Arabidopsis thaliana: one gene and its partners. The protein of the gene in region 4 interacts with the protein of the main gene of each other region in a pairwise test. Each region holds a gene or a part of one and is shown on either strand. Other genes may lie near its edges. The genes, in order: AT4G18340, AT4G33905, ATAF1 and ERD14.

Region 1 (7,912 bases), on a different chromosome or scaffold from region 4:
CCGGGAGGTCTAATCGGAGTTGGAACAACCATGGACCCTACGCTTACGCGTGCTGATAGGTTGGTTGGTCAAGTCCTTGGTGAAATGGGTACTCTCCCTGACGTCTTTGTTGAGCTTGAAGTAAGTTACCAGCTTCTGACTCGTCTCATTGGAGTGAGGACAAAGGAAAAAGAGAAGCAAATGAAAGTGTCAAAGCTAACCAAAGAAGAGATATTGATGGTGAACATCGGGTCTATGTCTACGGGAGCTAAGGTTATTGGAGTCAAGAAAGATATGGTGAAACTCCAACTGACGTCTCCGGTGTGTACCACCATAGGAGAGAAGGTTGCTTTAAGCCGACGTGTCGATAGGCATTGGCGTCTAATTGGTAAGGGTCAGATTATGGCTGGAACCACCATCGATGTTCCTCCTCCTCCTTTCTAATGAAGTAGTGATGAGTTTTTTATATTGTTTGCATTCAAAAATAATTAACATGTGCCTTTGTATGTTTAATCACTTTCTTTCGACTACAATATAAAACTATATTCATATTTAACACAACATTGACGAAAATTTAAAAAACAAATTCATAATTTCATTAATGATATTACTTATCACTAATTAGGAATTATATAATTCTAATTCCCTCCTCGTTCTGAGCTTTTGTTTCATCTTTACGCTCTCTCTTACTCTCAGCCAAAACCCTATACTCTCTTTCAATCCCAATGGAAGATTTGGTTTTGATGAAACAGAGTCTTCTAAAAAGCTTCATCGTCTCTCTTATTCTCACTCTCGTCTTCCTCATCTCACCATCATCATCATCTTCGAATCAAGAAACAAGAGTATCATCAACACAAAAAACGGAAGCTTATCTCAACGGTTACGAATCACCGCACCAACTCGTCTACATCAAGAAAACGACACCGTTTATCTTGAACCAGCGGTTGCAACGAGACAACCACCGTCGTCGTCGTTACAATCACCAATACTACTACTACTATCGACATACTCTTCGTCATCGCCGTGGTCTTCATCATCGTGCTGGCTACTTCAAGATGATGGCCAAGAAGAATAACGGTTTAAACCGTCCGGTTCGACAGGATACTTTCTCGGTTATGCTTCCCAAAGGATTCGTACCTCCTTCCGGTTCATCTCCATGCCATAACCAGAACCCTAATTCCGCTACTACTCTCTTTTGCGATCTTTCTACACAACCCTAGATATCGTTGCCGATACGTCGTACGTGAAACGATTTTGTTCCTCTCGTCGCACTTTTGTATTTTTCATCTTTTAAAGATTTTTTTTTCTTTTTTGTTCGGAATGACCGGTGCATTGATCAGTGCATTTTTGACGGTCAAGTGTATGAAAATAATTTGCATACTAATGTTTGATTGTTCGTGTCCTTTGATTTTTCAGAAAGTACTTATTTTTCCTTACGTGCAGCTGAATTATTTTATTCTATAAAACTAAACTTGACTGATCGGTAAAATAATATATGGAGAGAAAAAAGCATATGTGTCTATGTTTTCAAGGTCAAAACGCATCGTTTGTGGCAAGAACAAGGGAGTATATTGAGCCGATATAATTGGAAATGAGCATGTGAATTTGCATCGTGAGCATAAGCTCTTGTTTCATGGCTTTTTTTTCTTAGCTTCAGTTCCAATTCTTCGTACCGTCCACTCCAATGCATATGTTTGCATTCTAATATCTATATTATATAACTAGCTAGGGATTGTATTTAAAATATCCAACAACATATACAAATGAATTAAGCTATGCCATATTTCTTGAATTAGAGGGAAAAAAATATATGGTTGATTCTAAACCGCTACTGGTTATCGATTATATGCCTTTTGGTCAAAGTTACTACTTACTCAAACCTTTTCATATACGACAAGTTTTTCTTAAAAAGTAAACTTTGTTTCTTTATTATATATGTCAATTACTTGTTAACGACAACAATAAATTTAGAATTTTCACTATTGACCGACTTCATTTGAATGTTGAATTGAATATAAATTATATTTATCAAGCTTATAATTAAATTGTTTACATAAATATCCTAAACAATCGCGTTATTATATTGTCAATAACTTTTCCTCTAAAATAGTCTCAACATTACAACTTGAACCATCGCCAATATCAAAATTGTCCAATACTCCAAGCTCCTCTTTGCCTGAAAGAAGAAGAAAACAGAGAATTAATTCATTTTGCACATCTAGTCCTTTCACAAACTTATTCTCGTCGTGGCCCCAATAATTCCAAATTCTAACAAAATTCACCACATAATACTAATCGTACCTTAGTGGCAGAGGATGAATAAGTGACAGATTCTGAATTTGCCGTCGTTGTCGACATTGTAGAGAATCCCAAATTGTAAGCTAATGATCCATCTGGTTGGAATATACCGTAGTTTTTCTCCGAAGTAGGACCTGGTTTCATATCTTCATTGAACAACGCAAATATATAAACATCGAGTCTTGCATTCCGTCTCGCTGGAGTTCCTTCTCCGGCGAATTGCCTCATCATAAGATTCCGGTTATACGTGGCAGCATTCACAGGAGACGCTCCAATCTCTCCGACATCTCCTTTTGAAGGCCACCCTGTTTCCGCAACCCTAACTTCTATGTTACGGTACCCTAGTTTCGCAGCCGCGAAAGCAACTGCGTCAACTTGAGCATACATCATGTTGTCGTAGTGTAGTCTTGTGTTGGGATCGGTCATGCCGATGTTACGGTTGAATAGAACGTAATCGACTGGGATTTCTTGTGGGTTATCTTTGTAGGCAAAGTAAGGGTAAGCATTTATCCAAAAAGGAGATTTCGTGGCTTCCAAGAAATCTAGAAGTTGTTGCATCACGGAGGAAACCTCCGGCTTGAAACTTCCGGCAGATGGAGGATAAGATTCACCGAGGACGGCAAGAGAGCTTGGAGACGAGACTTGAATGTATCTATCTAAACCTAATTGGACCAAGGCTTTGTGGATGTTGATTATCGCCGGCATCATGTATCTATTACCAAAAAGAGGAGAGAATATAGTCAAAATTAGCAATTATTGGACAAAAACTATTACACTCATTTCTTATTGAAATTCAAAGTGGAGTTTAATAAATATAATATTTTTTTCGAAGGAGTTCGTTACATTTGACCAAGTGGTAGTCAAGAAAATGTGAAATCAGTTAATGAAAAAAAACTAATTCTGTGATCATGTAACAAATTAGACTAATATTCAACGATTAGTACTTACCCTATTAAACTAGAGTCGTCGTCGGTGAAAAGCTCGTTTCCGACCATAATTCCGGTAATCCTAGTGGCCGGAACATAGGGTTTAATGTGAGAATCTACCCATTGGGTAGCTTGTTGAGGATCTTGTAGTAATGGTAAAACCTGATTTTCGATGGTGACGATGATCTCGATGTTTGAATTTGCAAAGGCACTAAGGATTTGAGGGTTAGTGTCGTAAATTCTTGTTTTTGTGATCCTTAAAGATCTCAAGAGGTTAATGACTTTATCCGGTGAAGGCAAATTGTTCCCAACTTGTCCGTAATTGATGCCAAGAGACGTTACTGTTTGTAGTATATTCCCTATATTTCCAAACAAAGAATCGAACTTTTAGAAAACAATGCCAAAAATCTTTAATATTCCATTAAACAAACATTGAAAAAATGAATTCTAGACTTATTATCGATCCGTTATTTCACTATGTTAAAATCTTACACGTTGAGGTTTTAAGGCGGCAACGTAAAGCATAACTTAAGTGTTAAGAATTTGGTTTTAAAATTTCAGAATGAAAAAGAAAATAACCTGAGAAAACGAGAGAAAGCAGGAGAAAAACATGAATGAGACTGGAATGTCTTGTGAATGTTCTTGATGTCATGTTGAGGAAGAGAGAGGGAGGGAAAGAGATTGTGAAGGTTTTGGGTTTTAAGAGAAGTGTTTAATGGAATATTTATAGACATACACAATAAGCCAACCAAGGTGAAGAATACTTTTCTTCGCTTGTTTGTTTTTTTTCCGTGTTTTTTGTTGTGAAAAGGTTTAGTGTTGAAGTTTATGTTTTTTAAAAAAAGTGTTTTTAAATTGTTTAGCTTTGCCTCCCTATATTGCTTTTCTCATTTATGCCTTTTTTATCCACTGACGGCTTTCTATAAACCACAACGAAGGATTTCTTATTAAAGAAAATTATTAGGTTTTAAAATATTTGTATGTAGTTATTTATCATATAGCTAGATTAATGCAGACTCTATGACAAGACAATTTGCATGCACATGTATGGAAGGAAATACGTTGTTTGTGTGTTTCGTTTAATTACATGTACTATACAAGTGGTGTTAACTGTTGGGTTGGTAAAAAAAGTGAGCAATGTTATTAAATTAAGAAGAGATTGGGATACACATAAGTGGACGTGTATAGAATATTGAAGAAGTTTCATAAAGCACCGGAAAATATTAAAATATTCGTTTCAATTAAGTAGGTGAGTCGTGACTTAAAACAAACTTGTACTATACACCAAAAGTTTATTCTACGATAATCATGGAGAAAAAGACGTGGTATAAAAATTAATATTAACACAATGAAATTTTAATAGATAATCATGTCTTGTAGAATAATCATGAAAGGTAAAATATCAAATTTTCAGCTAAAACTTCATGACAAAAGAAATTTTATAATGGGTTATTAGTCCCACAAAAATGGTCTTTATTTTTCTTATTAACTTTTACTACTATTAATATTATTATCTAATTTATCTGAATCATTGATTTTACTAATCACGTGTTAATTATGATTAATTTAATGCTAATTCAAATTCGAAGAATAATGATTACATTTTCGCATGAATCTTGACCGCAAGTGTATCCTAGCCTAATTAATATGACAAACAAACCTTACTATATTTCTTTAGACAAAAGCTAATTGGAGATCCGATTTGACTTGACGTGTCAAAGGATTCAATAGTACACTGAGGAAGCCTCCTCCGTTTCTCCTTTAAAGTTTAATATTTTCAAATCTCCCGGGAAATATAATACATACAAATAAACATATATCACATATTTATTTTCTTTTTGTAATCCGAGGCTTTTGGACGGAAATTCATACAAGTCCTCGAAAGTTATCAAGAACGGGATATCCAAAATTGTATTCGTGAAAGATATATAAGTCGTAATATAATTTGCCATTAATTGTCAAGAAAAAATCTCAAATATATTGTTATTCGGATTAAGATGATAGAGAAGGGATATACTTACTTTCCTTTAGACAAAAGGATCATGCTTAATTTTGAGGCACTTGTAAAATAAAACAAGACAAATATGATAATGTATAAATTGACAAATAACTAAAAGCATTAGCATAACAAAAGTAAAATAAAATGGTCAATTGGGATAATGTTGCTAATATGCTTTCGAGGGGAATTAGACAAGTTGGCGGGGCAGTGTCACACACTTGGAGCCGTCGGTCAATTTCAACCATCGGTTGTTTTTTAATCACCTGACATAATAAACCCCAACAAAACTTATTTAAGAAATAGTAAGTGCTTTCGCTTGGTTGGCTATTGATTTGTTAATCAATTAATTTCTACTTACTATATTTTTAAATGGTAAAATATAAAGGGTTAAACTTGATCACGTAGACGATAGTCAATTCGTTTTCTCGAAAGGTTGGCTAGCCAGAAAATTACATTAATTTAAAGTGGAACTTTTGGCTGTATTGATCTAATCCAAAATACCCTAGTGTCTTCTTTTCGATTCTATAATATTAAATCTTCTCTCTTTTTCACGACACCAAGAGCCATTTTATTTGAACACATGTATACAACTTATAAGAAATATACCCGTCTCAAGCTATTGAACTTGTTGCAATTAAAAATGTAATCGTTCGATGTTGGAATTAAATATGTGGAAAGGAGTCAAAATCAGTCAATTATTCAGAGTGGCCTGTTTATAGTTGGCTGAAAACTTTTAGTTCGTCGTTTAAAAGTTTGATTTCGTGGCTTAGGATTGACCACCGGTCGACTTATGGCAGTTCCATATAGATTAATTTGATAATGACGTAACTATATACCATACACGGCCGAACAGATTGTTTTATATAGGCCTATATGTGTAAAGTTAAAGATAATTTGATTTATTATCGAGTATATGACACAAGTTTTAATTTATTTCTAATGTTTAAATTTAATGATTCTGGTTTAGTTCTTCATGAATATGATCTAGTTTGTTAATTATTTACTGAATGGACATATTTTTGGTTGCAGAATATTTCAAGTTTACGTTATCTGTGGATATTTTAATGTCCAAATCAGAAAGATCATATAATTGTCCAGCAAGTTTGAAACAGCAGACAGAAAAAGAGAATGATTTTGTTTTAGCTCGGATTGAAAGAATATGCCATTTAATCTGCAATTTATTTACAATATCGAATATGCAAATAAAATGACATGAAAGCTTTTTAAAGCAACACAAGTACTCAACGATATCAATGTTTTTGAACAAAGGTTAAGTTTCTTCAAAGAAAGGGTTTAACCCTTTTAACGCATGAAAAATAGAGTATATATAGGGTTTACTTGATTCGGATTTCCATGTTGGACATTTGCAAATGTATGATGCATCACACCCAACTGTGGGAATTTGATAGTGATAGGTAACTAAATTGGTTAACCATTTCCAACTTGGACCATGTGCGAATTGGTTTGAAGGTGGTAATATTAAGGTACCTTTGAATTCTCCCGCATGAATGATTCGGGAAGTGTTATAGCGGGTTTCTTAAAGAGAACAGTGTAGATAAGGGAGAAGATTGCAAAATCAAAAAAAAACAAAAAAAAAAAAAGATTGCAAATTTTACCTACTGTTTAACAAATGGATCAGGCCAAACCATCATTAAACATGCTTGACAGGTCTAGGTTGGGTTGGACCGACATGTTTTTTTTTTTACTTAACAATATATAGTTCACCAGATCAAAAATTCAAATTATATCTGCATAAAAGATACTAAGCTGCACCAAAGTGAACATATAGTTAAATAATGAGCCTATAACGTATCTAAAAATTCTTTTTGACGTCATACACTTGTATTTTATATTTGAACTGAACTCTATATACATATATTACCAAGATTCACATACTGTACTTAGTTTGGATTCATTAGACAAAATAAGATATTTGACGTCATATTAAAATACAGATATCGTGGGCCATTTCGAATAGTGGATATATATAATACTTATAATCGAGTCAAAATGGTGTAAAGCATTATTTCATAAAGCTGCCTACAAAATTGAATTTTTGGTGGATAATGGATAAGGATTAAGCGGCAAGATTTATGAAGAAGAAAAACAAGCTTTATGATCATATAGGAGAGGAAAGTTAATGTCTTATCCAACAACGATAATGCTTTCTCGATAACCAGTAAACATCGTGCATGCATGGCTAAAAGCTTTTACGTGTGCTTTTTTTTTCTTTATAGTAGTTAAAATTTAAATGTTCTTATACTAATCAAAGTGTTTTTCATTTATGACGCGCATACGTAAAAAGGGCCTTAAATCTATGTGTATGTTTCTCTTTTTACTCCATCTTTTTTGGTTAACGACAAGAAAATGAGAATTTCGAAATATTTTATAAAAAGTATGTAAATTTGGGTGCGACATTAAAGGATAAGACACGTAATATTTTAGAAATTTATATTGAAAGTTCAAATTTTTATATTATTAGGGGACAGCTTATCGTTGGTTTTAGTTGTATTTTGTTTTGTCAACTTGTCTGATGTCATGAGCTTTTAGGCATTTTCGATTCTAGAATTTTAGTTTTGCATGTATCAGAGAATTGTATTTAAACAAATTAGACACATATTCAATGATTATTACTTACCCTATTACAATGACAAATAAAAAAACGGAGACGAGTCTAAAATGATAAATCCAACGTGTAGTCTAGTCATAC
Region 2 (7,777 bases), on a different chromosome or scaffold from region 4:
TGTTAGTCTTCTTAATAGCGGATTGGATGTGTTTATGAGAAGGCTGATTGAGCCTTGTTTGAGTTTGGCTAATACTCGATGTGGGACTGATCGGGTTAGAGAGATGAATTACCAGTATACACAGCAAAGCAGAAGGCTTTCATATGTATCGATGTCAGATTTTCGTGCTGGTATGGAGTTGAATACTGAGATACTTGGAGAAGATTGGCCTATGCATATGGAGAAGATCTGCTCCCGTGCTTCAGATAAGTAAAGAACAAACATCATAGGTTAGATACATAGCATTTGAGTTTTCTGGTTTGGTTTGCGCTGTTGAAAAAAGTTACTGGGATGGTCCAAGTTTCAATGGAAGAAGGTTTTGAAGAGAAGAAGGGTGGGTCTTCTTGATGTTGTACAAGTTCAGATAATAGAGTGAGATTTAAGTAAGAGTTTTTTTTGAAGTAAACGACATTTTGTTTAGCTGATTTGTTTTTCTCTCATGTGTATTTTTCCTTGTTTGCTCTCTGATGTAAACAAAGTTAATAATGAAAGCAAAAAAGGCTTCTTGAAAAGATTCGTGTGAATATTTCATTTGTCTGGTCAAAGTCACTAAATATTACATTGGAATGTTAAAACCCAAACTGAAGTAAAAAGCTTAAAACAAAAAGCGCAAGACATAATCATACTATGAGACATGTCCAAATGCCTCGAAGACAAACGATCAACTTATTTAAAAAAATGCATGGGTGATTGATTCAATTCACCAAACTGTTGCAGTAAGAGCATTCACTAATAAATCCACATGACGGTTTGGTCCACTGGATATAAACACATTGTCAAACCACTCAAGCGTTCCCCAAATTTCTCCATTTTGGCGTTTTTGAATCGCAATTTCCGCACACCAAATCTTTGTTTCGTCATCAACTAACACATACTCCTCCCAAGAAATCGCCAATTTTCCACAATGATCCGCCGATTTAAAATTTCTATAATAATTAGTAAAAGTAGGCAGTCCTTCCAAACCCTTCAAAGCTGCCCATTCTCTTTTCTTGAGGTCATACCAACGTACATCCCCAAGACTGCAACGGTAGAACACGTTCTCTATCACACAACAAGATGATGGATCCAGACTCCATCCATGATTCAGGCATATGTCTGCCCCTCTCCATTTACCTTTATGCATCTTGTAAGTGACATCTTTTTCCCTAGACCCTACATAGACGGTTCTTTGATAACTTATGCTTAAGTACTCAGAGCCTTTGCATACCTCCTCGCTAGGGATCTGTAAAAACTCCCAAGTTTGAGTCTTCGTATCAAAAATCTCCATCCAATTCATTGAATTGAGATTTTCGCAGCCTCCCGTAACATATATTCTCCCATCGAGGGTACAAGCAGATGGAAACACACGGGCCACCCGCATGCTTGGAGCTTCACGCCATGTGTGAGAACGAGAGTCCATAACCATAACGCTAGACAAAGCGTTATAAGTCTTTGATCCAGTTGCATTTATCGAAGCGTTTTTATTCTCTGATCCACCGCCAATGGCATATATCTCATGACCGACCACTACAAAACCCGGCAGGGCTGCGGAAGTAAAATTGGGAGATGAAATCGGGACCAAAACTTTTTTGGAGCTATTTGGTCCCTGGTAGATAATGAACCAATGTAGTTGTTCAGAATCGGTATGGAGTCGTACGCACACGTAAAGACAACTCTCCGTTCCGCCTAAGAGGATTCGGGTTTGGTAAAGCTCCTTTGAAGCAAGAAGAAAGCGAAATTTTTTGGAGACTAATGAGAGAGTTGGATAATGTAATCTTGAGACGCGAGCTAAGCAGTTAAATACCAAATCATCAGGAAGCATTAGAAATCTTTTAATCGAGGGTTCTTCTCCATATTCCATGGTTGTTGATCACTTTTTTTCTCTTACGGTTGTTGATAGAGAGCGGAAGCTAAATATCGGACGAGAACACAAGATCTCTAGGAGAACTCGGATTTACAAACGGATCTTGCTTAGAACGTCAAAACTTGATGAAGAAGCAATAGAGATAAAGTCGAGATCGGTAGTGATATCGACTTGGTTTTGCAAGCCCTTAGGGTTGAGAGTCCTCCTCTCTAGGCTTTATAGAAAGCTCTCTTAAAACTCTTTATTCAATAATCCAAAACTAATCTATTCTACAACGTAAGGATTCTTTAAATAAGAATCAGAAACAAAGACCCTAATTCTAAAAAGAAGTTAAAAGCCAAACACGTAAAGCCCACATCTTTAATAAAGTCCATAAACTACTAAATCATGAATGAGAAACAATAAAGAGGCTTGGTCACGACGAGGCCCATCAAAGGCGTGAACAAAGCAAAGATGCGCTGCATCAGTTGCTTATTAAGTAAGAACTTGCTTTTTTTAACAAAACAAAAAAAAGTAAGAAATTGTTTTTTGCATAAGCTTCTTTTTGTCTCGACTATTCTTGTCTATATTGTTTATATATAGATTCCTAATCTCATTGGGAGTTTTTCAACGTGTTTGGAAGTATAGTAAGTTTCTAATTTTCTATAACAAAACGTATATTCTCTTCACTTGAAGAATTTACTGATATTCAAAAAAAGAACTAGAAGAATTTACTTTTTTTTTTTATCATTCCTTTTTACTAAATTGTTTTGTTTTGTTCTTTGTGTGCTCTTTCTTCTGGTACAGATATATATGCGGACCTACGTACAAGAAAGGACCCTAAATTTCTAAAATTTTACTTACTGTTATGAGAAAACAATACATTTGGCATATCAATTTTTTTTGTTACAAGCTGTCGCACTGCTACCTGCTACCCTACCAATCTGGGACGCGTATAAGATTGAGAACAAAAACCATATTTTAGCATACATAGCATTTGGTTTGACTCCGTTGGTCTCGTGTAAATTTTCCGTCTTTGTTAACCGTACTGATGTAACTAAGGATTAATATAAAAGACTTGTGTCAACAGTTTCCTTTGCCTGGTAAAGACTCAAAAAGTTGATCGAAGCTAAAGAACCACCATTTTACTCAAATATTACATGGAATACTAAACATAGAATTGAATTAAATCTAAGAGTGTAAGACATGTCCAAATGCACAGTTTTCCCCAAAACTCCTTACATTATATCCTCCTAAAATCTGGAGAGAGGAAACAAAGAATGTTGAAGAATGCCCTGTTTCTTTTAGTAAAAGTGTTTTTTGGCTTCATTTCTTCATTTCTAAACTGAGAGAGTTTCCCAGAGAGCTTTTTCAAATTTCAATGGCGGTTGGCGTCGCACGGCTTGCCATATAAGTTATGTAGATTGTCCATAGATACGAAAACGAGTTGCTCACAAGTGGCTGCAGACAAAAAGAAACCAGACTTCAGTTGATAACCAAAACTCACGATAAGACAAAATGAATGCAGCAAATATATGATCTGTCTTGAACAAAAGGTTAACCAAAGTGAAGCTAAGTTGGAAATAAAGTGGTAGGTATCAATCATACATACCTGTAAATAAACAGGGCAGAACTTGAAAGTAATAAAATCACACAAAGGCCAATACATGACACCATTAAGCATTGTGGGAAGTAGGTCCCTTTTCAATCTAGCAACTATCTCTGAACCATTTTCACCTGAAAAAATAATTGAAAATCAGACTTTGATGTCATCAAGAATAGCTTAGGATCAAATTCTAACAACAATTCTCCTCTCTTCAAACGCCATTTAGAGAAAGAATGTAACATCAAACAACCTGCTCTATAACAACCCTTAAGATTGAAGGTCAACAGGATCTAGAGTTTCAGAAAAATCATACTTTTATATGTTGCTCAAAGAAGAATATATAGACTATAAGAAAGGAACCAGTTGATTATTTTTCATGTACAGCTGAAAGCTTACCCTGTAGGGCTGCATTCAGTGAGAAGAAAACAACATTCATGGCAGGCCCATAGACTGTCTGTCCCATGGCCATTTTCTTAAACGTTGTGATCAAATCTCGTTTTGGGAAGAGACTTGACATGAGATTGAACCAATAGTGAAGTGTAGGACCCAAGATTAATAACCCATATCCTCCCATCCTTGCTGTTCTTACCAAGTCATAAGAATCCACTGAAGCTTGTGGAATTGTCTGTTGAAAGATCAAACAAGTCACACTTTTGTCAACAACAATACAAGAACAAAGAAACGTAAGCAAATATAACAACTCAATTCACATAAAACCCGCTACTACATCCACATTACTAAGAATCGATCATTACTTCTTAATCTAGAAGTAATTCTTGTCCTATCTCAAATCTCTAAAGCACAATGGAGATACAGTGACTTCTACTATTACCATTTGTTAGAAAACACAATGGAATCTTAGGACTGAATCAACAAGAACATAATCACAGAATATCTAAAATCTGATTTGTAGGCTTACAAAACAAAAATGAGATAGATTTTTGAAATTACCTGCGAAGACAAATCGGCTGCTATGTAAATAAGCGAGGACGTGACGGATTTGGTAAGAACCGGCCGAGATTTCACCATTCCCAAATACCATCCGATGAATCCTGCTGTAGAGACCGTCGAAGAAGACGAAGACGAAGACGAACAGAAACCAGAGACACCTGTTTCCTTTGCTTTCCCGAGAAACTGAGGCGTACGATAAAAAGGCCTCGACTGCAATCGCTGGATGTTTCCTCCTATCGGTAAAGGGTCGAGCTTTCCAAAAGGATTCGTCATCGTTGCTCGCTGTAATCGAAAGATCCGAGCGGCGTCGGAAGCAGCGTTTCTAAACAATGCGCCGGTCATTGTCGTGTGATGGCTCCGAGAGTTTTGGGGGTTCAGGGAAGGGTTTTATATATAACGGCGGTGGAGAAGAAGAAACAGAGCTCTGTTTTTTTAAAAAGTTTAAATGCCAATAAATAATGAAACACACAATTTGTATATTTCGCGAGTATAAAGGTTTTTCTACTCGCGTCTCGTACCATTGCAATCGTTCTTCATAAATTAGTTTTGTTCTTAATAAATTAATTAATCATGCCTTTTCTAGATACAGAATTGTCGAGATCTTTCCTAATAACCGAAGTTTTTGTGAAAGCTATAGTGTTACTTAGCACATTGATTATATATAAGCCAACAAATTGATTATTATTTATTATTAGCTAATCACTCAATAAACTCAAAAGCCAAGCCAAATTATTGGAGAAAATAACCTTTCCAATTTCTATGTTAGGCGGAGGAAAGAGTGCCTGAAGGCTGAAGAGCGCGTGACCGTCAAAGGTGGACGGTTCAAAAACCAAACATCCCCAAACTGTTTCTGTTCTGTAGTGTTCTAGGGTTGTTTACACGTCCTGTTCACATTGGTTAGTGTCGACGTCATCACTTCTGACACGTAAAACTTAATTCAGTGACGCTAACCTTTAGTAGAAGCCACGTGTTGCGTTCGTGTCCCAAGTTCCGACTTTTAGCCACTTTTTATGAACTCTTTTATTTTTATATATTTAGTCAAAAAGAACGTAGATCATTGGAAGAGAAGATTCTCTTATTTTCTGTCGGCAATTTTTCGAAGATTCTAAACCAAACTAAACGTAGATGATGTCACACACACAAAAAAAAACAAAAATTATTATCGGTATCACTCATGACTCATGTGTCCACAAAAACTCGAATAAAAAGATGGTCCCTGGTGTGTAAGCTCAGATACATTTTTTATATATATAACATGGACAAAATAATTTTCCATTTAATAGATACAAATACAATCATACAACACATTTTGTTAAGTTATAAGGGAAAAAATTAGTACACATTGCAAATTAACAAGAGACTTGACGGACTCAAACGAGCAGTAAATACTCAATACCAAGTAATCAGAACACCCAAATCGATCCACACTTGTCATCACTTCTGTGTTAATCTTATAAGTTCTTATATTTCTTTTACTGAAATATCAAACAACAAGAAACTTCTATTGTTCAAATGATATTTCGAACCAAGTTTTCATTATCAGGTTTTAATTTTTGTATCATTCGCATTATAAGAAAGCTAAATAGTTACACTGTTTCAGCGAAGAACTGTACACGAGGGATCCAGCAGCAGATTTTTAGTCAAAAGATAGAAGCTGTGAGACTGAGATAGATATATGGAAAAAAACCTAACTTATTCTTCCTGGTCTTGGTCTCTGATCCATTTGGTTGCCACCCATTTCTCTCCTTTGGTCACCGGGCAGCTCCCGTGAAGCGAAGTCTGCAGAAGCATTGGAACCACAGCAAAGAGCTCCTATTAGCATGAACTAATCCAAGGAATAGGAGTCAAGAGAAGAAATGAAATGTGTTCAAACTTTGTTTACCTGATCAATCGTTCCATTTGGAAACACGGAATAAAAAAGAAGACCATCTCCTTTCCGAGGCTTTACTTTCAACCCAATACATTGCTTGTAATCGTATCCGATGCCCATATTAGAACCGTTCTGTTAAATAGAAAGCGTTTAAATGGAATCAAAACTAACGAAAGGGTCTGTATAATAAGTAAGCAAATAATATATTATAAACTGACCTCAAATGGGAACATGGTTTCACCGCCTTCTTCAACATCAGATAAGTACAACAGGAAGGAGGCAATCTGCGTAAATTCAAATGAGGTCTCGGGTTCTAAAGAAAGCTATAAATATGACAGATTTAAGGATTTTACCCTTTGGCTTGATTGTGGTCCATATTCTGTTGGGTTGAAAACATCATAGTGGGAATCATACTTTTGGCCAAGTTCATACCGTAAAATATTGAATGACTGCCAAAAACATCAAATCTCGTACAATTAAAGGGGTGATAAGCACTAAACCAAAGGCCATCAAGCCTACGTTTGCCACTTTCAACATGCCTTAGTTTTACGATTCACATAGATTTGGGAAGTAGAGAATCATACCTCTCCATGGGACCTTGGGATCATCGTAGCTCTTGCGATTTTCCTTTCAACAAAATCCAGAGCACCAGTACTCTCTTCTGAAGCACTGATAAAAGTTCCTGAGCTGTATAACAACAACACACCAGGCAAAAACACTGAGGCTACTGATGAATGTTCGAAACATGAAACTAGAAAGAAAGAAAGACCTTGTTCTAGTGCCCTTAGTGTTCTCAGCAGTTTCTCCTTTCCGGAGAGCCAAAGCAGAAGGTTTCAGATTAACCTTTGCTCTCTCAATAATAGCTTGGCATTGTTCTGCAGTTGCAAAATTCGGAAAATATATAGCCCTAGGTCTCCAACTAAGTACCTGCCAATTTTAAACCAAATAATCCATAAAGATGAAGTACTAAATTTCACTAGTTGACTAATTGCTAAAAAACACAATACTCTCACTCACACTCATGGTCACCACACATGAACAAAAAAACAAAGTTCAATTAGATAATCAAATGCACAATCTTGCCCTAACTAATCGATTTCACCTAATTTGCCAATCCAAACATCTTAAAAGTCAAAAAATTAGCAACAAAATCAGACCTGAAAAGGAATCGATCCAATAGATTCTTCTCCAGTAACACCATGAGGCATCGAGCTAGCTTCTTCTTCCCCATTCTCAACCATATCCAACATTCTCAACCTGGGTTTAACACGAGGCACATTCTGATCCCAAACATAGAACCCTCGATTAGTCACAAAACCAAGCTAAAGACTCCAATCACATCTAAAGAGTACAGAGTAAAAGATCAGAGAGTTTCCACACCTGAGAAAGTAGAGTGGAGCCATAGAAACCGAAGAGGAAACAGAGAGAACAGAAGACGATAACTGTGGCTAACCCTAGCTTCTTCCTCCTGTAGCTCTTCAATCTGCTC
Region 3 (7,745 bases), about 28 Mb from region 4:
CCTTTAGAAGTACGTACGGACGGTGTTCTTCTTTATCACATTTCTTTCTGCTTCTGGCAACTGAATCTCTTTTTCTCTGTGCTTCTTTCTTCTAGTTGAATATCTTCAGGGGGATCACACTACCTGATGCTCCTATATTTGGAAAGGTTTTTGGAGGACAATTTGTCGGACAGGTATCGCATTTTCTCTAGGAAGGTTACATTATTATGTCTCTGTAAACCTTGCTGATCTGATTCATGTGCATATATATATTGCTTGTTAACAGTGATAACCGTAACCACTACTAAGTCACTTTTACCAACATTTTACAGGCTCTTGCTGCGGCGTCAAAAACTGTTGATTTTCTCAAGGTCGTCCACAGTTTACACTCCTATTTTCTTCTCGTTGGAGATATTGACAGTATGTACATAATCTCACTGGGGCACTTTCTAGCCACCAATGATGCCTTTCTTCCCTATTGAAACCCACCCTGCTGTTGGATTCATCTGATTATCATAGTTTGTTGCTCTTGCTTGCAGTCCCCATTATTTATCAAGTTCACCGCATACGTGATGGGAACAACTTTGCCACCCGAAGAGTTGATGCAGTACAGAAAGGAAATATCATATTCATCTTGCTGGCATCATTTCAGGTTTCCCATTTTATTCTTTACAAGATAGCTTATGAATCTCTACGTCCACCTGCCACCAAGAGAGAATAGCCTTTCACAAAACTGGGAAAATTGTTTTCTTAAATTTTCTCTTTTATTACTTTCATAGAAAGAACAACAAGGATTTGAGCACCAGGAGTCAACCATGCCCTCTGTACCAGATCCTGATACGGTAAATCATTTCTCCAGATTTAAGGGTTCCAATAAATTGTTGTGTGTTTTATTTTTCACCATTATCTGCTACAGCTTCTATCACTGGAGGAGTTGCGTGAAAGCCGTATAACTGATCCTCATTTACCGAGGTAAGTGGTAGTGTTTTCCAATGTATGATAACTTATATCAAAAGCTCAAGTTGGACCAATCTTCCAATTGTTTCTTTCTTTCAGGAGTTATCGGAACAAAGTTGCAACTAGAAACTTTGTTCCATGGCCTATAGAGATTCGATTTTGTGAGCCCAGCAATTCAACAAATCAGACAAAGTCTCCTCCGAGGTTAACAACTCGCTGAAATAAATCAATTATATCATAGAGTACTCTTGAGTGTATACTCATAAATTCCATTAAGTATTTCTTAAAAAAAAAATCAAGAAACTCACAATGCCTTCTTGCAGATTGAACTATTGGTTTAGAGCAAAGGGAAGGCTTTCTGATGATCAAGCTTTGCACCGGTAAGTAACTCCATCTATGTATATCAAGGTAACCATCTAAAAATTGGTATTATTCATCTGGTAACAATCCTTTAAACTTTAAAGGCAAGAATGATTGTAGACAAGTGAATCAATGGTGTTTTAGTATCCCAAGTTGATAGGTTGAGACTTGTAAAAGGCCAAACTTTCTTAATAGCATTGAAAAACTGACGGTATATTGAAATTCAATTTATCATTCTTAGCAAACTAATCATTTGGCAAAGCCATGTTGATATGCAGATGTGTCGTTGCATTTGCCTCGGATTTAATATTTTGTGGTGTTGGTTTGAACCCTCACCGGAGAAAAGGGGTGAAATCCGCCGCACTTAGCCTGGACCATGCGTAGGTTTTTATTTTCTCTTGGTGATGTATGAGTTTTGTGTGTCTGGGTTAAATTTTTTAATTACATTGAGGCATTATTCCAGTAGGGATCTTCCAGATAAGTAACTATTACGAGTTACTATTCCTCATTTGGTTTGCAGGATGTGGTTTCACCGACCTCTAAGAGCCGACGAGTGGTTGCTCTATGTGGTAGTTTTTTCTATCCTTGTTTCTTATGAACATTTCAGATCAAATGTTTGTTCAGAATAAATGAAAATGATTTTTGGTATAGAGTTGTTTTATAAACTTGTTTGCTGTAAGAGGTTCACCCACTTACAACACAAAGGATGCTGCTTGCAGATTGTGAGTCCAACTGCGCATGAGACCCGTGGTTTTGTGACTGGTCAAATGTTCAACAGGAAAGGAGAGGTACTCTTTCTCTATTCTTTTGAACCCTATTATACATACATATCTGGAAATGATAAGTGATAAAAGAATTCCTTTTGGTATGTGTTTTTGAATATGAGAACAACAGCTGGTTGTATCATTAACGCAAGAGGCCCTATTAAGAGAGGCTAGACCTCCAAAACCCTCCGGCACGTCGAAGCTCTGAATGGCTCTCAACGTAAGTTAAATAAGATACATTATTACGAGTACAAGGCGACGAATAAAAAGATCAAAAACCAATCTGGGTGGGTACTAAATAAAAGATTTTATTAGACAAACTCATAATGTCAATGTAGCACGCTGTATGTACATTGTTTGATTCCGGCCTTCTCACCTCTATCATCATCTATCTATAAATTCTCTTGTTTTTTTTTTTTGTTTTAAAATTCTTTCTCACAAGAACACCTTTAGATCGATTCGTGGGCCAGAAAATTATGGGCCCAAGTATCAAATTAGTTTTCGTACGACCCATTTTGGATCCGCGGGGGTATCTTTGATGGAACCGGTACACCTGCTTAACCGGCCGGTTTATAGTTTTGTATCCATTTGTGATTTGCGGGTTTCTGTTGCCACCTCCCCACTCTCCTCGCTTTTGTTGGTCTTGGAAAAACCCTGGGATTTTGGGTATCTCTGAGCACGAATTCTACATTCTCATGGCTTTCGAACACAGAAATGAAGACCTAAATTCCTTGGATTCGGAAGAAGATCTGGAGAAAATGGAGTCAGAGGTGGAGCAAATGTCGCGCAAGGTTTCCGAGTACAGGAAAAGCCTACCGAGTAATCTGAGCAATTCTGTGATTTCTTCTCGTAGATCCAATTTTCCCAACATCGATTCTTTGGGCTTTCGCACAACTAGCACAGGTTCGTACGTTTCTTTGCTTATATTTAGTTAGATACCTTCCTTCTCCTTTGGTTTCAGCTGGAATTTTAGTCTCTTTTTCTTTCTAGATGATGTAATAATAGATTGATCCTCTACATTATTCGTGGATCATTCTTGTGAAGACCAAGTTGTTTAGCAGCAGCAGACTTGCCTTTTGATTGTGATGTCGTTTTTTGCATTTAGGTTTGTGTCATGCCATGCGTGTAGAATATTGTGATACTTGCTACTATACCCTCTGGATGATTATGTTCATGAGTTATTACGCTTAATTCTGAGGTGATGATACATATACAAGGCTTTTCCATTACAATAAATCATGTATTTTTGTGGCTTAGAATCGACAAGCATGAGACTATGTGATGATATGTTTAGCTAAGCTGAGAGAAAATGATTGTTTAGCCAATTTTTGTTTACAGATACCATGAGATAAGTGGCCACATTAGGTGACACTAAGATTTCATAGCATTGTAATATACACAAGTCTCTAGTGAACTGCTGTTGTGATAACCAACTCATCAGTTATTTTGTTCCTTGCAAGTTTGGAAGAACCTCTAGTGTCAAGAGATGGAGCACATATAGGTGGAATCGAACAAGAATCTCGAGATAGCCTGATTCAGCTCAAAGAAAGAGTGTACGAGAACATTGCCACAGTGCCTCTAGTTGTAGAGAGAATGCGAGAGAGTAAAGAGAGAATCGACAAGTCCATTTCTTTCAATGGAACTACTATGCACCCGGCTTTCACAAGGCGGAAAGCTAGCTAACTGATCAGTTTCTACTTCTCCCTATTGGCTTTACCACTCAAAGAAAGCTAATGCATAGGAGGAGATATGGCTGGTATTTCTTTCTACTATATTAGTATCAACCAACATCTCTCGCATTTAGAATAAGAGTATACCATAACCTCTGTTTTGATTGTGTTCTACATTGAAACAGGTCTTTCTCTGATTTTAATATGGACTCTTATAGAATCTTGGGCTGATTCTACACCCTGTATGTATATGTAAGAATCACATAATCAGATGGTTGCACAATTGTCAAGAACACCCAAATCCAAGCTTGCGATTTAGCAATCTCACCCGTGTAAGAAACTTAAAACCATAAAACCAATTGATATAAGAGCTTTTCTAGCAAAAACTTAAAAATATAATTAACACCGTCGAAAATGGTGGAGGCTACTAGAGCGAGATATAAACTTTATCACCGTTTAATCGTGTGGGATTTTGAAATGATATGAACCTATTGCAAAAAGACAAAAAAAAAATATAAACGGAGGAACTAGGCAGTGGGACCGGAGATCCACCGACCGGAAACGAAGAATCCATAGTAAGATAGAGCCCAGGGGTTCGGTCGTATCGGACCGGTCGGATTTGGATTCTAACGACAAGTGAGTGGACCCCCAGAAACGACAGACGTAAGCAATGACAACATCAAACTCATCGCCACGTCAGCAACGGAGTTCTACTTGCGAAACGTGTCCCGGCAGCGTCATCCACCCACGTGTGTTCTAGAAGCTCTTCTCCTCCTCCGTATCTCGACACGTGTCCACTCCCTCTCCTTATATAATTGACTTTTCTCTCATTCTTTCCAAGTTTCAAAAACGCCAAGTTTCAGAGGTAGAGAGAGAGATACTACAATTGATTAGGATAGGATCAGGATCATCCTCAACAACCTCCTCCTAATTCCTCCTCCATTCATAGTAACAATAATATTAAGAAAGAGGGTAAACTATGTCAGAATTATTACAGTTGCCTCCAGGTTTCCGATTTCACCCTACCGATGAAGAGCTTGTCATGCACTATCTCTGCCGCAAATGTGCCTCTCAGTCCATCGCCGTTCCGATCATCGCTGAGATCGATCTCTACAAATACGATCCATGGGAGCTTCCTGGTGACATACTAGCTCTCTTTCTCTTTAATCTTTGCCGGATTCTAAATCTGAGATTGTTCTCTGCTGACTCAAATTCAATTTTACAGGTTTAGCCTTGTATGGTGAGAAGGAATGGTACTTCTTCTCTCCCAGGGACAGAAAATATCCCAACGGTTCGCGTCCTAACCGGTCCGCTGGTTCTGGTTACTGGAAAGCTACCGGAGCTGATAAACCGATCGGACTACCTAAACCGGTCGGAATTAAGAAAGCTCTTGTTTTCTACGCCGGCAAAGCTCCAAAGGGAGAGAAAACCAATTGGATCATGCACGAGTACCGTCTCGCCGACGTTGACCGGTCCGTTCGCAAGAAGAAGAATAGTCTCAGGGTATGGAATCAGATCTGATTCACATCTTTGTTTCAATCTCTTGTTCTGTTTCTGGTAAATTGAATCAACGGTGTTGATTTTTGCCCAGCTGGATGATTGGGTTCTCTGCCGGATTTACAACAAAAAAGGAGCTACCGAGAGGCGGGGACCACCGCCTCCGGTTGTTTACGGCGACGAAATCATGGAGGAGAAGCCGAAGGTGACGGAGATGGTTATGCCTCCGCCGCCGCAACAGACAAGTGAGTTCGCGTATTTCGACACGTCGGATTCGGTGCCGAAGCTGCATACTACGGATTCGAGTTGCTCGGAGCAGGTGGTGTCGCCGGAGTTCACGAGCGAGGTTCAGAGCGAGCCCAAGTGGAAAGATTGGTCGGCCGTAAGTAATGACAATAACAATACCCTTGATTTTGGGTTTAATTACATTGATGCCACCGTGGATAACGCGTTTGGAGGAGGAGGGAGTAGTAATCAGATGTTTCCGCTACAGGATATGTTCATGTACATGCAGAAGCCTTACTAGAAGGGAATTCCTTTCCTGCCGCCGAAACGCAACGCAAAACGACCCTCGTTTTTGCGTTTATGGCAACACGAGACCGTTTTATATGGTCAATGAGTGTGCCGATTCGGCCATTAGATTTCTGTTCAGTCTTCGTTTATTCTATAGACCGTCCGATTTCAGATCATCCCTAATCGGACGGTGGTCGTTGGATGTATCAGTAGTGTATTACTGTGTTAGGTAGAAGAAAATCCACTTGTTCTTAAATTGGCATAAAAGTCAGAAGCTAATATTTATATGTGCCGCAATCAATTTAATATTTTCTGTCTACTTAGGAGTAATGGATACAAACTAGCGTATTGGTTCTATATTTATTTATCAGCTTTCACAGTTGATCTGACTTACATTTATTGTGAACATATCTAACAAGTGTAGAGGAGTAATGGATACAAGCTAGAGTACAGTGTGTTAGCAGAAACGCTATAAGATGAAGTCTGATGTTGAGCTACATGTTACTGTCCATTGTCACTTGTCGGACTTCTTTGATGGAAAGATGAACTCTTTCACGGAATCTTGCGCTGAAAGTATCCTCTGTCTGATCTGCATATGCAAAATGTCATAGATAATATAGAGTTAATTGGCTACAAAACCCCATCGAACCATAAGAAATTGATTTGGTGTTCAAGAGTAAATGAGTAATCAGTACTCTCAACATAGAGAGAGTAACAACAGACTAAAAACTCAGCAAAACAAAGTAGTCACTACTCATTCGTTGAAGATCCAGGCAAACGCAACAAAGCTGAGCATAGAAGTCAGGAACATTCATATCTCATTCAAAGTTTTCTAAGATCAAAATTCAACCCTAGCAACTAACAACTAATAAAGAGATCTAACCAATATCAATTGAAACCAAGTGATTGTAGGCTGTAGCAAATATCTGCGATTCGAAGCGATGATGATCGAGAAGGTTGACGGTTCGATTTATTAAACACAAACAAAAAAAAAAGAGAGAGAGAGAGAGAGAGAGAGAGAGAGAGAGAGAGAGAGAGAGAGAGAGAGAGAGAGAGAGAGAGAGAGAGAGAGAGAGAGAGAGAGAGAGAGAGAGAGAGAGAGAGAGAGAGAGAAACTCACAGGATCAAGAGCGTTGGGCTCTGGACCGTAATCAGCGGTTAAGAGGAAGTACGATACAACAGCAGTCGCCACCACACTGGTTACCTTCACCACCTTTTCAATTTGGGGATTCATCGATGTTTTCGTTCCCAGAAAGAACAATTCCGGTGATTTTGGTTTTTTTCAAGTGACACAATGATGATGTTATACGTTTTTTTATTGGTAAAACGACACACAATCCGATTTGTGTAAGAAAATTCATGCCGTTTTCGTTCACTTCAAATATGGGCCCAGAAAGGCCCAAACATCTCATCAAGTCCTCACGGCGTCGTTTTTAAGATCCCCGCTGCGTTGATTTATGGCGATCTCTTTCGGCGGTTGAAAACCTTTGAAAATTGAAAATGGAGAAATCGACCTCTCCGGCGACTCGAGTCACCGAACCTCCTCCTGCTGCTACTTCATCTCTTCCAGCACAAGCTCCTCCGCTTCCTACATCTGCAGATCAGAGATCAGCTGAGTTACCTTCGCCTGCTCAGCCAGCTCAGATGACTGCGCCTCCGTCGACAGTTACCACAGATCCGTCGTCCAGGGGAAGAAAGCGAGCGCTGGAAGCGAATCTTCAGATCGAGAGCTCCAACTACTACAAGATGCGTCTCCTTGTCAAAGATCTTCGCCCTCACGTTCTCGAGGTTGGACCATAATTGTGATAAAAACATTCAAACTCTTTGTTTGGGAAAGGGTTTATACATAACAACTTGGATTTTGTGGTGTGCTACAGGTTTTACGAACTCCAGACTTGAGGAACTCTAAGGCAGTTATCGAGATTCAAGAGAGTGAGAAGCTCTTACACTCTCTTCTTTTGTTATCTCAATTTTCACTTAGCTCAACAAAAGGCCCAACTTGTTT
Region 4 (6,964 bases):
CAGAAGCAACAAAACTTTGAAAATGCACAACTTACATTCAGTGGAGAAGTAGTCCAGCTTCTTGAAATAAGCATACGTGTAACTATGTTAAGGTCTAACGAATATCTTCTGTTGACAGTTAAAGTTGTTTCGGGAAGCAAAACAAAAGATTTAATAGCAAAGGATATATGACAATCTCCTTCTCGTATGTATATTTGAAAGGTTTACATCTTGGAATTGGACCATCTTCGCCTGTAGTGATTGATGTGCACCTACTCAATCTACAATAGCCAAATTACAAATCAATCAATTAAGGGACATGAGACATATTATAGCCAAGATTCAAGGAAAAACATCACTAGAAACGTATATATTTACCTAGCAATATCGCCTCGCAGTATGTTTAAGACAACTGTTTCGGCTATATCATCTGCATTATGTCCAGTGACTAGCTTATCTACTTTCAATAACGCAGCTCCTCGATCAAGTGCCTTCAAAAATTCAACCAGACATAGAATCATAAAACAGAAAAGACGGTTCTGAAGAAACTTACTCAAAGAGGGAATGCTATGAAGAAACTTGCTCCTCACCTGTCGACGGAATACACCACAGAAGGTGCAATTGTTCTTCAAACCGATCATCTTCACAATCTCGTCCATTGTCCATCCATACAGATCTTTGTATGAAACAATCTGAAGAGGCAATCCATACTGGGAAAACAAAGAATGACAAATCATCACAAAATTTTAGAGTGAACACATAACACATAAATTCAAAAGCTTACTTGAACTTCGTTCCTTTTAACAGTCTCGAGAGAATCATCACGATAACCCGTTATCCCTTCATCAATAGACAAAAGAAAAAGATCGAGTCCGTAACTGTGACGTCTGTTTAGTTCTGATAACACATATGCCAGCACTGAAGAATCTGCACCAGCACAAACTTTTGAGTTATGGCGCAAACATCAAACTAAAACAGAGTGATTCGTAAAAATTTGAACTTTGAAGCGAAACCATCATTGGAGTGTAAAGAAATTACCTTTTCCACCGGAGGCACCTATAGCAACTCGTTCACCGAACTTAAACAAACGATTCCCAACAATGACTTGGTGAATCTCTTCCTCAAAAACCTCATAGAAACACTCTCTGCATATCTTTATACAAATACTCACATCATTATTGCTTATACGTAACAAACTAACTAGCAGGAGATTGAGAAACTATGATCTTTAACAGTTCCGAAAATGCCACAAGAGTAACGCAACCAAAGACCCAGCTCGATGATTTTGATCCTAATTCAAAATTTACCTGTTGAAGGGTTTTCGGTCGTTTTAGGACAGGTCGTCACTGGTTACAGATGCAGCAGAGACGAGACCCTCCTGCTTTCTTGCTCTTCTCTTCCCCTGCCTCCATCTCCACCGGTGAATGAAACTCCAAGTTTACTAGTCGGCGGTAAATTGTCCTAACCGGAAAAACGACCTAACTCGGAGTTATATCCACAGAACACCGTCGTATTTGATTTCGGTATCTGAATTGTTTTAGTTATTAATGGGCCCATTGGGCTTTCTTACCCAACATTAAAATCCCACATACAAGATTATAGATAATTAGATATACCCACAATGATGAGCGTTAAAGACATTATTAACTAAGGATGTGGTCCATTAATGGAAATGTTTTGTGATTAGCTGGATCTCATGTGAATATGTGATCTTATCATAACTAGCATATTAGGGAAACGTTACGTCAACTGGTCTACAAAAATATCTAAGTTGGTCCATTTTCTTACACGTTTTGAGTAGTTGTGTCGACCGCAATGCCAAATCAATCACTAAAAAGAAGAGTATACACGATCATGTTTCTTCTATACCAACGCATTTAATTTCCTACATACGAACTTGAATGCTAATCAAACTGGGGTCATGTTTACGGCTTTGAGCAATAGTTGAAGATTATCAATACATAAAATTATATCATCCATATCACTTAATCAAATGAAAATATTCATACCATTAAAATACCTTGAGATCTTTTGTTTTTAAAAACCATATACAAGAGAAAATAAGAAATTGTAATCAACAAAAAAGCCAACAAACTTACACATCACAAAAGCAAAAGATGATCAATCATCACAATAAAAAAAAAAAAAAACAAAGCAAATCAACCATCATTATTCTTAATATCTTTAATGATAATCTTCTTATTCTTTATCTTTCTTCTCCTCCTCTACGGTGGTCTTAGGGTGGTATCCTGGAAGCTTCTCCTTAATCTTCTCAAGAATCCCTTTCTTCTCCACTGGATGCGCTTCTTCCACAGGAGGAGGAACAACCACCGGTGCCGCAGCGACGGCTGAACCGTCTTCAGGTTTCTTGTGTCCAGGAAGCTTCTCTTTCAACTTCTCCATAAACCCTTTCTTCTCTTCCTCCTTTACCTCAACTTCAGTAGTTGGCTTCTTCTTCTCCTTCTTCTTCTTCCTCTTCTCACCATCTGAACCTTCTTCCTCACTTGACTGTATAAATTCAGACCCATATAGTTAGATAAGAAAAGCATTCGATCATGTTATAGTTTATCATCAACAGATCAGATCTAAACTTACGGAGCTAGAAGAACTGTCGCTTCGGTGAAGCTTTTCAAGAAGACTTTCGTGTTTAACCTCTGGCTCCGGCTCTGAAATATGAACCTTCTGCTCAAACTCTGAAGCGATCGGAGTCTCCTCTGGTTTTGTTTCGTCTTTCTTCTTTCCCAAGAAATCGAACAATCCACGATCTGTAACCTCTGCCGATGATTCCTCTGTTGCTACCTTTGGCACCTCCTGTTCAGGAACATTCTTGATTTCCTCAGCCATAGTTATCGGAAAAAGATTCGATGAATGAAACACGGATTCAAAAGTATTTTTTTTATGTGAAGGTTTGAAATTCAAAAGCAGATGAAAATAAGAGGTGATGGAGATTAGAGAAGAAAGTGTGTTATATAGTGTTGAGGACTCGGGAGGGGTCCAAGCCACCGCGGATTTCACGCTCTTTGTACACTTTTTTTTTGCAATTTAAAAACATATATCTAATTATATGAAATTACAAAATGACCCGCTTTTTATGGCATCTTCTCCTTCGTCCCCACGTTAATTATCATTTTTCTGTTAATTAGATAAAGTTATATTGGATTAAGAAGAATTCATTAATTAATTGTTAATAGTTTGCTTACGTGATCTGATATCAATTTAGTGGAATAAAAAATAATGGATAAGAATGGCAACTAGATAGTTTTTTTTCAAAAGTAGTGAAAACAAACTAAATGGTTTGTTCAAGGCGTGTACTGTTTTTAATTTAAATATTAGACTTTCATAAGTTTTTTTGTTTGTTTTAATACTTGTTATGTGGACTTTGTAGTTCAATGATCGGTTTATCAAGTTAAAGAAAACTGATTCAAACTTTAAATAGAGTAAGAATAATATGGAATAAGCAAAAATGTTTTTTCATTTCCTCTGAAAGCAAAAATAATTTATTTTTGACAACGCAAAAGAGATTTTAAAGAATGGGATGTCCCTATAAATTATTGTTCTTAAAGTTTCGGGCTTTCTTATATATATATATATATTCACAAATATAGGAACCATCTTGCAAATTCCAAAAATGGATTACAGATTTTGAAAGGATTAACAATTTAATGCACCATAGATTGGAAGACACGTGTCAAGCATTAGCGCAAATCGGACGACGGAGCTCATAGTCAGAAATGGAACGTCGGATGTAGACAAAGAAAAGAGTCAGAGAGAAATTTAGATTAATCAATTACATCTTAAAACGTGTCAATATAACATGGGAAGTTGTCCTTTTGTAGGACCCAATAGTATGTACTGATTGGCGTAAAAGACGTGATGTCGGTTACGTGGGTCCACTTGACTTATTGACTAGTGCCACGCTGGAACAAGCTTGTTCGAGAAGAAATGATGATTTTTTAGAAATTTATAACGTTCCTTATTTTTTCTTTCTTCTATTCTATGCGTTACAAAATACAAACAAACCAATAAGAACTTGGTTATTTAATTCTTATCACGCTATGAATCCTCAACGATTAGGTGTTATTTTAACTTATTATTCACTAAACATGTTGAAGAGGCCAATCTAGTAACGCATGATCTTTGAAATTGTAAATACATGATCTTGGATACTCTAAACAAAAAAAAAAACAAATCCAACAAGTAATATAAGTCCGATTGGCTCAATCGATTAGGAAGGTGTTGTTGCAATGCTACCGGATCTCATTTTTAGTCCTAATGCTACAATAAGACGGGTAATTTGCGCTTGTGAATCCGCCAAAAGTATTATCAAAGAAATGATCGTGGACATAAACAAACTAAAACTAAAGATTTAGATTTTAGAACGAATAGAAAGTTAGCATCATCTTTTGTTTACCATTTTTGGGGCACATAAAACAATCTTTCGTAATCTCGTTTATGGGAAAAGGGTTTGTGTATGTATTTTTTCAACGTAAATGGTTATGTTTTCATGCAGTTTTTAAAGATAAACTTAGATGTAGATAATGAAATCATGAGTAGACAAATGAGCATAAGATGACTTGGATTTCTTATGAATTAATATGTTAATGTGTGGGATGTCATTTTCGACCTATTGAAAAAGATATACTAAAAATATTAATGAAGGACAGATGGTAATCGGTAAATGCATCATCTCTTAAAATTCGCCTAAAATAAAAAAAATGAACCGACGTGCCACATCAGTAATCTCTGGTCTCTAAATTTAACAAAGACGTAGCACGAACCGTGACGTATCAACACACATATCAAACAAACCTATCTTTTTCAATACTAACTTATTCGTCTTTTTGGTTCTTGTTGTCATATACACCGAAGCTCAGCTCTTAACTTATTCTTTGGATAATGTTTTCGGTGATAGCGAACCGACAAATTGTAGCCGACACTTAGAATTCACAACTAAACTATAGATTTTAAAATAATATTAATTAATTCGAAAGTTTGAGATATCTGAACAAAGTTTTCTGAAAAACGTAGAATACATATGGATCAAATACTATAATTCGAAAGTTTCAGATTAGTGCTAAGTAATGAACGTCATGCGTTTGTTCTTCTGTCGATTTCTTCTTTTTCACCGCCCGTCTGAGTTTTATGGGCGTGATATTTTCCTTATTGTGGTCAAATCAGGAATATTCAACAATATTTAGCACTCGCTTTACTTGGTGGGACATGAGAATCAATCGATGCATCGCTGTTTTATTTCTTTTTCTTTGATGTTTCTATTTCTGTTAGAACAAAGTTTTCATGATTCTTAAAAGCCCAAATTTCATGGCATCGGAACAAAGTTTTCATATATGATGACAACTCAAAACAAAAGAGTAACGGTAAAAGCCCAATACCCATAAAATGGGCTTAAGAATCCAGATCGGATCTATAACCCGACCCGGTTGTTGACACCGAGAGAGTCCACGCAACGTTCGCCGAATTCCTAACGAATCGGACACCGTTTCGTCGCTGTAAAATTTTGATGCGAAATTTTCCAATTCACAGATTTTGTTTTTCCATTGTTTTGGATTTCTAGATTCTAGTTATATGTTGGTGATAGATTTTTCCTACATCTCGTGATTCTCAAACGCTTCTTGAGCTCTTCGTCGAATCGGGACTGTGATCGGGACTTGGTGGAGAAGAAGCGATGATAACAAGATCGAATCTAGCAGAACAGCTCAGGGAATATCAGATTAGATCAAAGCATGATTGGGCCTCCGTTTCTTTCTTCTCTTCCACCTCCAATTTCTCTTCCTCCAGGTTAGAGATCTCCGGCTTATCCTTTCCTTTTTAATCTGCTGTGATTTGGAGCTGCGTGCTTAGAGTTGTATTTGAAAAATTGTACTTTGTGATATTTAATTCAATTGGAACCGTAAATTTCTCATCTTTTAAGGGATTGTCGTTGAACATTGGATATCTATGTGAATCCTACACAAGGAACTATAATTTTGACTTGTCCACGTTGAACCATCTTTGACAATTTGACATACACTTTTCATTCTTATCGACTCTGTTGCAATCTGGATTCTATTGTTAAATTTTGACAATGAACATTCTATAGTGGTACTTATGCTATTCGTTTCGTTTGCTTTTGATTCAGGGTTGATGTTGTAGTCTTTGTCATATGGGAACTAGTGATGTTAGCACTCGTGGTGTTTTCAGCTGTATCCTTGTACTTCAGGCGGTTGCAACTTGCTTTTATCCTGCTTTGTGTCACCTTACTATTACTCCTCTGTATGAAAATCACAAAGCAAGTGAGACATGCTAGGAAGAAGAAGCGAAGGATGCTTCTTCCTCTCTCTATGTAAAGACCGAAACCATTGAGCTGTTGCGAACCGTTTATCTTCTCACACAACCAAACCACAACTCTTCTCTGGCATGAGTTTTGTGCCCATATGCATTGATGAAGATGACAGCTAAGCTCAGACTGACTCTGGGACGCATCGCTTTTGTCCTTTGAAGAATCGACCTGAACTTGAGATATGAAACCAGGGACTGCAATTTCAAGGCTTAGCTTAGACAAATCAGAACAAAAGTGCTGTAAAGGTTGTTTTCCTGTATAAAGTAGTATGGGAGGTTGCTTTATTTTTCCTAGGCACGATCACGGATTGTTAACTTGAGCGTTTTGTGATTAAAGATAGTTTTTCCATCTATCTATGTTACACTTAATATCATGATGAAGTGATTTAGATTTGTTGGCTGTAAAAAGTTTTTAAAAAATGATTTGCAGGATTTTCATGTGACGAGAAAAAGAAAAACAACGAACACTCATGAAAGTAGAAGAGAGAACTATAAAATGAAAAGTAGCAAGCAACTTGCTCGAAACGCTCACATGTTTCTATCATTACCTTTGCGCTCTGCAACTACTTTAGTATCTTGTTAAAGAAAAAGTGGTAATAGTTAGTATTATTTGTAATGTTATGGTCTGTCAATACACTAGCTTAGCTTG

What was found.
Region 1: the proteins of ERD14 (region 4) and AT4G18340 interact in a two-hybrid assay, tested with the Arabidopsis thaliana proteins (one large-scale study listed by BioGRID).
Region 2: the proteins of ERD14 (region 4) and AT4G33905 interact in a two-hybrid assay, tested with the Arabidopsis thaliana proteins (one large-scale study listed by BioGRID).
Region 3: the proteins of ERD14 (region 4) and ATAF1 interact in a two-hybrid assay, tested with the Arabidopsis thaliana proteins (one large-scale study listed by BioGRID).

Annotation. Positions count from the first base shown.
Region 1 is NC_003075.7:10,128,165-10,136,076, forward strand, and holds AT4G18340 (Glycosyl hydrolase superfamily protein), read right to left. Parts: upstream 4,029-7,912; 5' UTR 3,856-4,028; coding exon 3,783-3,855; intron 3,563-3,782; coding exon 3,226-3,562; intron 2,990-3,225; coding exon 2,281-2,989; coding exon of another isoform or gene 2,248-2,280; exon of another isoform or gene 2,156-2,247; coding exon 2,081-2,155; 3' UTR 1,886-2,080; downstream 1-1,885. Other genes in the region: AT4G18330 (Translation elongation factor EF1A/initiation factor IF2gamma family protein), read left to right, coding at 1-423; AT4G18335 (uncharacterized protein), read left to right, coding at 705-1,199.
Region 2 is NC_003075.7:16,250,833-16,258,609, forward strand, and holds AT4G33905 (Peroxisomal membrane 22 kDa (Mpv17/PMP22) family protein), read right to left. Parts: upstream 4,929-7,777; 5' UTR 4,761-4,928; coding exon 4,419-4,760; intron 4,093-4,418; coding exon 3,864-4,092; intron 3,599-3,863; coding exon 3,474-3,598; intron 3,323-3,473; coding exon 3,233-3,322; 3' UTR 2,920-3,232; downstream 1-2,919. Other genes in the region: AT4G33890 (transcriptional regulator of RNA polII, SAGA, subunit), read left to right, coding at 1-253; AT4G33900 (Galactose oxidase/kelch repeat superfamily protein), read right to left, coding at 740-1,879; AT4G33910 (2-oxoglutarate (2OG) and Fe(II)-dependent oxygenase superfamily protein), read right to left, coding at 6,111-6,197, 6,301-6,420, 6,507-6,572, 6,642-6,737, 6,873-6,975, 7,058-7,215, 7,446-7,568, 7,669-7,777.
Region 3 is NC_003070.9:263,762-271,506, forward strand, and holds ATAF1 (NAC (No Apical Meristem) domain transcriptional regulator superfamily protein), read left to right. Parts: upstream 1-4,231; 5' UTR 4,232-4,709; coding exon 4,710-4,869; intron 4,870-4,955; coding exon 4,956-5,233; intron 5,234-5,321; coding exon 5,322-5,753; 3' UTR 5,754-6,058; downstream 6,059-7,745. Other genes in the region: AT1G01710 (acyl-CoA thioesterase II), read left to right, coding at 1-9, 96-173, 312-399, 519-631, 759-821, 896-951, 1,036-1,140, 1,260-1,316 and 4 more; AT1G01715 (uncharacterized protein), read left to right, coding at 2,756-2,963, 3,532-3,743; AT1G01725 (adenylosuccinate synthetase), read right to left, coding at 6,255-6,329, 6,861-6,974; AT1G01730 (uncharacterized protein), read left to right, coding at 7,241-7,528, 7,618-7,672.
Region 4 is NC_003070.9:28,584,835-28,591,798, forward strand, and holds ERD14 (Dehydrin family protein), read right to left. Parts: upstream 3,094-6,964; 5' UTR 2,824-3,093; coding exon 2,575-2,823; intron 2,488-2,574; coding exon 2,179-2,487; 3' UTR 1,829-2,178; downstream 1-1,828. Other genes in the region: AT1G76170 (2-thiocytidine tRNA biosynthesis protein, TtcA), read right to left, coding at 36-76, 168-260, 358-689, 764-906, 1,018-1,124, 1,354-1,391; AT1G76185 (NADH-ubiquinone oxidoreductase chain), read left to right, coding at 5,663-5,775, 6,116-6,323. UniProt on the Arabidopsis thaliana protein: Intrinsically disordered protein acting as a chaperone. Prevents heat-induced aggregation and/or inactivation of various substrates. Binds to acidic phospholipid vesicles without affecting membrane fluidity.